Linked DNA regions of Arabidopsis thaliana. The protein of the gene in region 1 binds, or shares a complex with, the protein of each later gene. Each region holds a gene or a part of one and is shown on either strand. Other genes may lie near its edges. A codon is read from its position in the direction of its gene.

The links.
Region 2: the proteins of PDV2 (region 1) and ARC6 are in contact, whole or in part, in a crystal structure (PDB 5GTB), measured with the Arabidopsis thaliana proteins. Residues at the interface, in NP_028242.1 of Arabidopsis thaliana: Glu287 (codon at 1,000), Arg288 (codon at 997), Val289 (codon at 994), Glu290 (codon at 991), Ile291 (codon at 988), Pro292 (codon at 985), Phe293 (codon at 982), Asp294 (codon at 979), Ala298 (codon at 967), Lys299 (codon at 964), Arg300 (codon at 961), Asp301 (codon at 958), Val302 (codon at 955), Thr303 (codon at 952), Tyr304 (codon at 949), Gly305 (codon at 946), Tyr306 (codon at 943), Gly307 (codon at 940); in NP_199063.1 of Arabidopsis thaliana: Trp686 (codon at 4,365), Gln687 (codon at 4,368), Lys690 (codon at 4,377), Phe694 (codon at 4,389), Arg710 (codon at 4,528), Met711 (codon at 4,531), Ile714 (codon at 4,540), Trp715 (codon at 4,543), Arg718 (codon at 4,552), Glu721 (codon at 4,561), Thr722 (codon at 4,564), Leu725 (codon at 4,573), Leu727 (codon at 4,579), Tyr729 (codon at 4,585), Tyr731 (codon at 4,591), Glu753 (codon at 4,657), Leu756 (codon at 4,666), Glu758 (codon at 4,672), Ala760 (codon at 4,678), Leu762 (codon at 4,684), Asp764 (codon at 4,690), Val766 (codon at 4,696), His767 (codon at 4,699), Asn770 (codon at 4,708), Ala772 (codon at 4,714), Thr773 (codon at 4,717), Asp774 (codon at 4,720), Arg776 (codon at 4,726), Tyr778 (codon at 4,732), Thr780 (codon at 4,738).

The regions. Positions count from the first base shown.
Region 1 is NC_003071.7:6,983,138-6,987,530, forward strand, and holds PDV2 (plastid division2), read right to left. Parts: upstream 2,484-4,393; 5' UTR 2,220-2,483; coding exon 1,938-2,219; exon of another isoform or gene 1,855-1,937; intron 1,780-1,854; exon of another isoform or gene 1,610-1,779; coding exon of another isoform or gene 1,577-1,609; coding exon 935-1,576; 3' UTR 709-934; downstream 1-708. Other genes in the region: HB1 (hemoglobin 1), read right to left, coding at 76-190, 273-385; ARI2 (RING/U-box superfamily protein), read right to left, coding at 4,230-4,387. UniProt on the Arabidopsis thaliana protein: Component of the plastid division machinery consisting in a binary fission accomplished by the simultaneous constriction of the FtsZ ring on the stromal side of the inner envelope membrane, and the ARC5/DRP5B ring on the cytosolic side of the outer envelope membrane.
Region 2 is NC_003076.8:16,983,527-16,989,595, forward strand, and holds ARC6 (Chaperone DnaJ-domain superfamily protein), read left to right. Parts: upstream 1-1,569; 5' UTR 1,570-1,768; coding exon 1,769-2,275; intron 2,276-2,357; coding exon 2,358-2,582; intron 2,583-2,669; coding exon 2,670-2,930; intron 2,931-3,013; coding exon 3,014-4,001; intron 4,002-4,290; coding exon 4,291-4,424; coding exon of another isoform or gene 4,425-4,436; exon of another isoform or gene 4,437-4,515; coding exon 4,516-4,806; 3' UTR 4,807-5,082; downstream 5,083-6,069. Other genes in the region: AT5G42470 (BRCA1-A complex subunit BRE-like protein), read left to right, coding at 1-17, 105-235, 324-372, 436-525, 608-661, 808-873, 967-1,064, 1,146-1,212; AT5G42490 (ATP binding microtubule motor family protein), read right to left, coding at 5,083-5,428, 5,520-5,800, 5,880-6,069. UniProt on the Arabidopsis thaliana protein: Component of the plastid division machinery consisting in a binary fission accomplished by the simultaneous constriction of the FtsZ ring on the stromal side of the inner envelope membrane, and the ARC5 ring on the cytosolic side of the outer envelope membrane.

The DNA.
Region 1 (4,393 bases):
TAATAAACCCCAAAACTCAACAATCTTTGATTCGAATATATAAGCAAAATCATGTTATTTGATATTGATTATTACCATGACAAAAACAGACATTGCGTGAGGCTTGAGCTTTGGATTTTGCTCAGCAGGAATTGGTGAGTCTCTCAAGAAAGAGAACATCTTCTTCGTTGTTGGTGCAATCTCAAAGATCCTACAGTTCAAAATAGTAGTTCATATCTCAGACTATATACATAAAAAGAAAATAGAGAGAGATCAATGGGATCATTACTTACTTGATGAAGAGTTTGAGACCTAATTCAGCTGAGTTTTTCTTCATGACACTCCAAGACTTCACTACAAGAGCCTCTTGCTCTTCTGTGAACACAATCTTTCCTTCACTCTCCATAATATTTCACAACCTCTAAATGATTTAAAGTATACAACTCTCTGTTTTGTAGATCTTACTCCAATTATGAAAAGTATCCTATATATAGGTTTTGATAAAAGACCCTTTTGTGTTACCGAAGAGACAGTTCTTGATAAGCAAGTTTAAGATAAAGTTGCTTGGTTAAAAAGTGAAACCATGTGCTCTGTACTGGTAATGGAACATAGTTTGTAATGGTAGGCTTGACCAATTATTAGTCAAAACACTAAAGAAAAGTCTTTTAGATCTCTTTATCTCATTAATTTACTTATTTATGTATTGGCCAACCACACCAAGTGGTATAAGTTGGGATACACTGAATCTATTGATCAAATTGGCAGAACAGAGATTATACTACTCAAATGAATCTCTCCCTCATCCAATTTATTTGCACAACTATGAACAAAACTTGTGAGAGTTATGTAGCACCATGTGGCTTTCATATCTAAGAGGTAAGAAAAGGTTGAAACTTTACACACTGAATGTCAGGCAATGAACATTACAGAGGAGGGTGTTTAATTTCTTTCAAACTCAACCGTATCCGTAAGTTACATCGCGTTTCGCTACAACAGAGTCAAATGGTATTTCGACTCTTTCCTTAACAAGGCACCGTGCTTCTCCATCTTCAATCACAAGAACTTTCCCTGGTGGACATTGGTTAGGTGTTCTCTTCCCTCTGGTAGCTCGGTGCGGGAGAAGTCCAAAAAGGTTCAAGGAAGCGCCTCTTTTCCTCATCTCTGGACCATATCCTGATGCAGACAATAGAGAGATAACACCGATGATTGGAAGCACGATCTTTGCGACAGAGCCTAAGAAGCGAATAACCCCATGACTCGAACCTCCAGATCCTCCGTTGGGACTTTTCGCCTCTGCCTCGTTCCTCACATGTCCTGAGCCGAACCCATTCGCATCCGATTTCTTCTTCGAAGGTAAGTGAGATAGGTAACCATTATTATTATCTAAACCAAGGGAGAGAGGAGGATGGACAGGATAAGGAGGAAGTAAAAGATCATTCTCATAATCAACTCTTTCACCAGCAAAAGTCGTAGTCTCACGTAACACTTCAAAATCTTTCCCTTTGTACTCCTTAAGCTTCTCAAGCAACATTTTCCTACTGTAATCAATCTCAGAGAGAGCCAGTTGCTTCTCATATTGTTGTCTTTGCCTTAGATTCTGTTCACCACAAACCAAAAACCATCCCCACATTAACCACCACCAAGACTTGAAGCAATTCAGACATTATAGACCAGACTTGAAGCAAAATTCAGACTCAGTTTCAGTTAAAACCAGAACCTAACACTTTCAATGTTCAATACTACACTAAAAGCCAGAAACTTGATGAGAAGCAGAGGAATTTTTTAGGGTTTGGTTCAAACCTGTAAAGAAGCAATTCAGACATTATAGACCAGACTTGAAGCAAATTCAGACTCAATTTCAGTTAAAACCAGAACCTAACACTTTCAATGTCCAATACTACACTAAAAGCCAGAAACTTGATGAGAAGCAGAGGAAATTTTTAGGGTTTGGTTCAAACCTGTAAAGAAGCAAGCTGAGACTCAAGAGCTTCAAGAGCATCACGAATACGCAAAAGCCGTTCAGCTTCTGCTTCATCTACATCCTCAGAGCTGATTGAGTCAAAATCCTTGTCTTGATTCCCAATAATCTCGCTTTTTCTTCCTTCTCCGGGAGAAAGATCCTCGTTTCCATCGCCGTTGTCGCTGACGGTGGTACTGGAGTTATCGATACAATCGCTGATCTTGAGTCTGAGCTCGGTGGCTCTGGCTAAAATTAACCCGATGCCTTCTTCGTCTTCCATCGCAGAGATTGAGGAAAAGAATTTGGGGGTGGAGAAATTAGGGTTAGGGTTTTTGTAAGGTAGTGGTGGTGGGGAAGAGAAGAGAGACAAGTAATTTGGAGTGTTTGGAGTGGATTTGTTTTGTGGTTGGCTTAACTCAGATTTTCAGATTTGTTTCTGCTGCTTTCCCGGTTTTAATCAACGGCCACAAAAAATCAACAAATTTTTATTGAATTTATTTAAATTTGGGGAAAAAATGAAAAAGAACCATAAGAAATTTGGAAGAGGCCAATTTTGGACTCTAACAAAGATGACAAATCTGACATATCATTCTACATAAATAAAATAAAAGAATCTGTGTACTAAAATATAGACTTCTATGTCAGAAAAAACGTAAATTTTAAGTTATTATTTTTTACCGTCTAGATTTATTATTTATTATAAATTATAAAAATTATCGTAGAATCGTTTTTGTAACAATTCTTTTTCTTTGAACTATGGTTAGCATTTTTTTGTTTGTCAACGCCGAAGTCAACTGATCGGTTTACCGGAATTGTATGTTCATAATATTAACCAGATGACGTCATATAGTTCATAAATATGGTCATGCAATACATGTACTTCGTGTAGCTCAAGATACAATATTATACTTGGTATATATGACAGCGTAATTCTCTATATTTCGTGTAGTTAGCCATCTTTTTTCCTTTTATAAAAGATAACAAAGTAATTGAAAATGAATATGTTTTTTCCTTTTTTGGCTCAACAACAATAATTATCATTAAACAACAGAGTTTTACAACTTGTCTAATTCCACAAACGATTTTACCCAATTTGGCACTATAGAATACAACTTAGGATCATAATTCTCAAGAGAAAGAGATTCCTTTGCTATCCTATCTGCCACTCCATTGCCTCCACGATGCATGAACACAAACTTTGTTTCCTCAAAATGCTGAAGCAAGAACTTGATGTCTTGTATAATAGGGTCCAGAGTAGGCATATCATCGTTATCAACAAGAATAGACACCAATTGTTGGGAATCAGATTCAAAGATTACCTTTCGGTAGTTGAGTCGAGAGAGTGACAACACCGCCCAACGCAACGCTTCAGCCTCAGTAACCAAGGCGGATTGAGCCTTTGGTATAGCCCTTGCACCCATCCAAAGCACGTTCTTGTCGGAGTTTCTAAGCACCCAGCAAATGCCACACTTGTTGCATTCTGCATTCCAAACTCCATCTGAGTTACACTTAACCCACCCATGTGGGAGTTGCTTCCACTTGATCACTTGCTTCTCAGAGCTCTCTATGAGAAATGTATATGTTTAAAATGAATATGTCTGAAAATGAATATTTTTAAAATGTAGTTTGAGATGGTTTAAAAATATTAGTTAGAAATATTTTAATTTAAAATAAGACATTAAAAGAAGTATTCAAGTTAAATTACATTAAAATTATTAAATAACACTAAAAATACATTATATTGATGAGAGACACAAAAGTGAACCAAAAATAATAAAATTATATTAGTGAGAGATTCAATAGGTATCTCACCAAACAAAATTTTTTAGGGGATGCATTCAATAAAAAAATTACAACCAGAAAAAGTGAAAAACTAAGGTTAGCCAATTTTTCAGATTGCGGGACACTCTCTCACCGTCACAACAAAAACCTCATACCATCTCAAATATATAACGCATATGTACAAGAGATTCATATCCATGAATTAGGTACGATCCACCTACGTTTAGTTAAAAATTTACACCTCGAGGCACTGAGAGAAGCCTGAGTTCATAGGCAGCTTCAAATATGATCCACTATAAGTCTATAACCATTATCCTATGTAAACTCCGAAACTGATTGAAATTTTGTAAGTAACGATGCTTGACCCCTTCTTTCAGAACTGAAGAGGGTTAGGTAAGGTCACTGACAAATTAAGCAGAGGGGATTGGGTTTAGAGCTATAAATATCCGGGTAACACACTTTATTTGGACAAAAAGGGTGTTATTGGGAGGTGAAGAAGGATAAGTGTTCATTTCCGCTCAATGGCTTCCGCTGGCAAGTTTAAATCTAGTAAGGTGGTTTGGCTGTTTCTGTAACTTTCGTCTATTCTAGCACGCTTCCCGGAAGAGCAACTTGTGTCTTCCGACTTCCCTGACTCCAAAGCTTGATCGAGCCTGGACGTCCATCCTGTAT
Region 2 (6,069 bases), on another chromosome or scaffold:
AGAAGATTTATCTTCAGGTTTTCTCTTCGTTCTTATAATTTTATCCTTTTCTTCACTCTGTTAAAATTGCTGGCATCTTCTTGAGAAACTTGTTGCGGATCCAGGTAGTATACCCGATTCTTCGGAAATATGAAGCAGCACCGTCAGCACCTCGTTTGAAATTAGTATCATATTATGATTTAAAATCGCTATTCTCTGTTGAGGATGTTAAACTTTCTCCATGGATGGACGGGATGTAAGTTAGTTACAGATGTACACACAGTTCACTATACCTGCAAACCATACATGTATTAATCAGTAATACTTACATTTCTATTTCAAAGGTGCTTGGCTGAATATCTTCCCCATCTTGAAGAAACACTTGAGAGACAGGTCAGTTAAACTAAATCTTCTTAATTTCCTGAGTACGAGTGCCTTATTTACCTTAATTTCTAGATCCATGAAGCTGTTGCTGCAATTGATTTAAGGAGGAGTTTTATTGAGGCATTAAGTCTTAATCTGGGAAGACCTCTTGAAGCCGATCCTGTAAGCATTTCTTCGCACGCCTTGACATATATTTAGAACTATTTCCGAGCTTCTTAACTTTCTTATTTGTTTTTCTTGCTAGACCTTTTGCCGTAAGGCTACATTCCTTAATGCCTCTGGACAATTTACTTTCATGGTAATTATTCTATCACTATTCAAGCCTTGTTTAAAAAGTTCTATTCAATCTTTGCCAAAGTGGATTTTCATACTTGTCTTCTAGAGAAATCTCAATTTCACAAAAATATGTAGCAGTGGATTATTGGGTTTTTGGCTTTGCTGTAGGTTCATTTCTTCTTTTCAACTCAATTTCCGAAGCAGCAACCAACTCTGATGCTGCAAAGTTGTCAGGTATCAAAACTATTTGTAAACGAACTAAGTAGAAGGCTTCGACTTTCTCTTTATTTATTTAGGTATAAAAATTGACAAGCTTTTTATATGCAGCATTTAAACCAATCGAGTGTGCCAGTGAAATCGAATCTCCTCACTGAGTACCCATGGAGTCCAAGATGGGAAGTGGGACGCATGGCTGAGCGACTGTGGTTAGTCTCTATGGACTCTTTCTTAGATGTCTTATTTAACTAATTCTCCTTCTGAACATTTAAAATTTTACTTTTTTGCAGTGACTTCCTGACCGACGAGGCTGTCAACTTTAAAAAATATTGTAACGAAGCTCTGCTCCAACATTAGTGTATCTATTTCGAAAGTTAGTATTGTCCAAATTTTATGTGACACTCCTCTTGCTATGTAAACTGAAATGGATTACTGTTCTGCATTAAGGAGAATACAATTATAAGCAATTTGTCTTGATTTCAACAAGATTTTGCTTGGCTATAGGATTCATTGGCTCTGTTTGCTTTTACATTTACATGTCATAATAGTTTCGAATTTTACACATTTCAGTTGGATGTTAAGAAAAGAGAGGGAATTGATGGGGTTTTGTGGGTTTAAACTTTAAAGTAGTCAAGAATTAAGTCATTGGTTTACTGTTGCTCTATATGTGTAAAATGAAGGCAACTCCAACGGTTCTTAGGTGGAATAGATTATTTAGACGATTTAACATCATAAAGTCCGTGGCGACTGTAACATCATAGATTGTTTTTTATTTTTTTCAGTAGCTGGTGATGTTTTTTGATTTAACTTATACTACTCAAAATCAAAATTCCATAAACCCTAGACGACCAAACAGTCTCTTCAATATGTAAAACAGAACAAAGTTTTTGTAGTAGCCTAAAAAGACACTCCCATGGAAGCTCTGAGTCACGTCGGCATTGGTCTCTCCCCATTCCAATTATGCCGATTACCACCGGCGACGACAAAGCTCCGACGTAGCCACAACACCTCTACAACTATCTGCTCCGCCAGCAAATGGGCCGACCGTCTTCTCTCCGACTTCAATTTCACCTCCGATTCCTCCTCCTCCTCCTTCGCCACCGCCACCACCACCGCCACTCTCGTCTCTCCGCCACCATCTATTGATCGTCCCGAACGCCACGTCCCCATCCCCATTGATTTCTACCAGGTATTAGGAGCTCAAACACATTTCTTAACCGATGGAATCAGAAGAGCATTCGAAGCTAGGGTTTCGAAACCGCCGCAATTCGGTTTCAGCGACGACGCTTTAATCAGCCGGAGACAGATTCTTCAAGCTGCTTGCGAAACTCTGTCTAATCCTCGGTCTAGAAGAGAGTACAATGAAGGTCTTCTTGATGATGAAGAAGCTACAGTCATCACTGATGTTCCTTGGGATAAGGTAATTTCGATTTCGGAATAATAAAGTTTCTTCGTTTTAATTTCATGAATTGGATAAAGGAAGGAACTTTTATCTAGTGAAGGTTCCTGGTGCTCTCTGTGTATTGCAAGAAGGTGGTGAGACTGAGATAGTTCTTCGGGTTGGTGAGGCTCTGCTTAAGGAGAGGTTGCCTAAGTCGTTTAAGCAAGATGTGGTTTTAGTTATGGCGCTTGCGTTTCTCGATGTCTCGAGGGATGCTATGGCATTGGATCCACCTGATTTTATAACTGGTTATGAGTTTGTTGAGGAAGCTTTGAAGCTTTTACAGGTAGTTTGACTTGCTTTGGTAATTTGACGAGCGTTGGCTTTATAAGAACTTTCTTGATTTGATACTTTGTTATTGAGTCTTGTGTAGGAGGAAGGAGCAAGTAGCCTTGCACCGGATTTACGTGCACAAATTGATGAGACTTTGGAAGAGATCACTCCGCGTTATGTCTTGGAGCTACTTGGCTTACCGCTTGGTGATGATTACGCTGCGAAAAGACTAAATGGTTTAAGCGGTGTGCGGAATATTTTGTGGTCTGTTGGAGGAGGTGGAGCATCAGCTCTTGTTGGGGGTTTGACCCGTGAGAAGTTTATGAATGAGGCGTTTTTACGAATGACAGCTGCTGAGCAGGTATACAGTTTAGATACCTTTTTTTAATTTCTTTAGCATGATATAACTTTAGGTTTCTCATTTTAATGTATGTTGTGTGGTAGGTTGATCTTTTTGTAGCTACCCCAAGCAATATTCCAGCAGAGTCATTTGAAGTTTACGAAGTTGCACTTGCTCTTGTGGCTCAAGCTTTTATTGGTAAGAAGCCACACCTTTTACAGGATGCTGATAAGCAATTCCAGCAACTTCAGCAGGCTAAGGTAATGGCTATGGAGATTCCTGCGATGTTGTATGATACACGGAATAATTGGGAGATAGACTTCGGTCTAGAAAGGGGACTCTGTGCACTGCTTATAGGCAAAGTTGATGAATGCCGTATGTGGTTGGGCTTAGACAGTGAGGATTCACAATATAGGAATCCAGCTATTGTGGAGTTTGTTTTGGAGAATTCAAATCGTGATGACAATGATGATCTCCCTGGACTATGCAAATTGTTGGAAACCTGGTTGGCAGGGGTTGTCTTTCCTAGGTTCAGAGACACCAAAGATAAAAAATTTAAACTCGGGGACTACTATGATGATCCTATGGTTTTGAGTTACTTGGAAAGAGTGGAGGTAGTTCAGGGTTCTCCTTTAGCTGCTGCTGCAGCTATGGCAAGGATTGGAGCCGAGCATGTGAAAGCTAGTGCTATGCAGGCACTGCAGAAAGTTTTTCCTTCCCGCTATACAGATAGAAACTCGGCTGAACCCAAGGATGTGCAAGAGACAGTGTTTAGTGTAGATCCTGTTGGTAACAATGTAGGCCGTGATGGTGAGCCTGGTGTCTTTATTGCAGAAGCTGTAAGACCCTCTGAAAACTTTGAAACTAATGATTATGCAATTCGAGCTGGGGTCTCAGAGAGTAGCGTTGATGAAACTACTGTTGAAATGTCCGTTGCTGATATGTTAAAGGAGGCAAGTGTGAAGATCCTAGCTGCTGGTGTGGCAATTGGACTGATTTCACTGTTCAGCCAGAAGTATTTTCTTAAAAGCAGCTCATCTTTTCAACGCAAGGATATGGTTTCTTCTATGGAATCTGATGTCGCTACCATAGGTATGATTAAATGATGCAATTTTCATATATCTGCATTGCTCAAAATATGCTTGTTTTGTGAGCTAAGAACATAGTTCCCACTTAATACATGTCCCAAAAGTTGTACCAAGATTAACAAGTTGCTGAGTAAATTTCACTAATTATGCTGCTTGAATTTTTTGATCAAACTGTAGACAGAAATGTAAATTTCACTCTCAACATTTCTGTTTAGAATAACGTAGGATTAGAGATTGCCTTAGTGTGGCTTTGTCCAACTTTTCTTTCCTTGATTTTTTTCTTTTCGATTTAGGGTCAGTCAGAGCTGACGATTCAGAAGCACTTCCCAGAATGGATGCTAGGACTGCAGAGAATATAGTATCCAAGTGGCAGAAGATTAAGTCTCTGGCTTTTGGGCCTGATCACCGCATAGAAATGTTACCAGAGGTGAGGGAATAAATCTACAATTCAATCAATTGTGTGAAAACTGTTGGACATGATTATAGTCTGGTGCCTTGTTTGATTCTGTTATTTATAGGTTTTGGATGGGCGAATGCTGAAGATTTGGACTGACAGAGCAGCTGAAACTGCGCAGCTTGGGTTGGTTTATGATTATACACTGTTGAAACTATCTGTTGACAGTGTGACAGTCTCAGCAGATGGAACCCGTGCTCTGGTGGAAGCAACTCTGGAGGAGTCTGCTTGTCTATCTGATTTGGTTCATCCAGAAAACAATGCTACTGATGTCAGAACCTACACAACAAGATACGAAGTTTTCTGGTCCAAGTCAGGGTGGAAAATCACTGAAGGCTCTGTTCTTGCATCATAATATACTCATATGTAGCATGTCTGAGCTTGCGAGATTCTCTTTGTTTTGTAAATTCTCTCTCTAAGTTAGTGTTTATAAATGAACACAAAAAAATTAACGTTCTTGGCACACCCTTTTCCTTGATCTAAACTATAACATAAGGGCTACAATTTTGGATTCTTTCGCAATCAGGTACAAGCAGAACTTGACTTATCTTACATTCAAGCCTTTCACAACTTAACTATCAGTGTTTGGAGACTTCTGTCTTGTTTATGTTTTATAATTGTGCTCTGGTTATCATCTGGTCAAGCGTATAGCAGAGAATGATTTGGTAAATCTCCAGCCAGATGATTTTACGTTTTCGGTTCTAGGTAACAAGCTGAGGCCAAACATTTCCTTCGGCATTCGACTTGGCTCAACAAATCCAAGCAGCTTAGCCACAAGAGAAGCACTTTCTTTTATGTGGTCCATATCTTGGGTGTTGGTCCACAGCTTGTGCGCCACTTGCAGGCTTCTCTGCTTTGAGTTCACCTCCACGCCCCATTTTTGGTAAAGCCCTATTCTTTGGTTCCATGGAAACTTCTTTGGTAATTGTTTGGAAATCCATTCCTTCTCGCGTGTGAGTGCCTTCACTGTTTGCATCCTGATTAGACACCAAAGGAATTGGTTAGCATACTTATGAGTATATGATTGATATTGATGAGACTCGTTAAAAAGGTGTTGCAGAAAAATACCTTGATGTTTCCATGTCATTAGATATCGTCTGCTTCAGAAAAGATAGCCTTCGAAGTTCAACTTCCATATAAACATAGTCTGAAGGATCACCTTTGAAGAGCAAAAAGAAGTAGGTTCTGTGAACCAGTGGTACATTGCATGCTGCCCAAAGCTCAATTATTTTCCTTTGCTGTCTCTCAAAGTCTGAAGAACTGATTGAATATTGTCCATTAGCAGCTACCTGTAGTTTCTCCTGGGAAGCCTCTGTGGAATCTGTTTCCTTAGGTTTTGCTTCTTCTACCTGCATTTTGTGATCATCCAAACTGTTGAGAAACGAAAGAAGTTTTTGTCTCCCCAAGAAAATATTTTTTTTGGCTTACCGAATCACCAACCTGCTCTCTCTGTGACTGATTATTGGTGGCATCTGTGGTTTCTTTATTTATATCCTGAGGATTTGGCAATGCATTCTCGTTTCCTCTAACGCTATCTGCAGGGCTTTCCGGTCTGATCTCCATTCTTTCGGTTTTTGTGGGAGCGTATGGAATCCCATAATCTAGCTCCGGTGTCGAG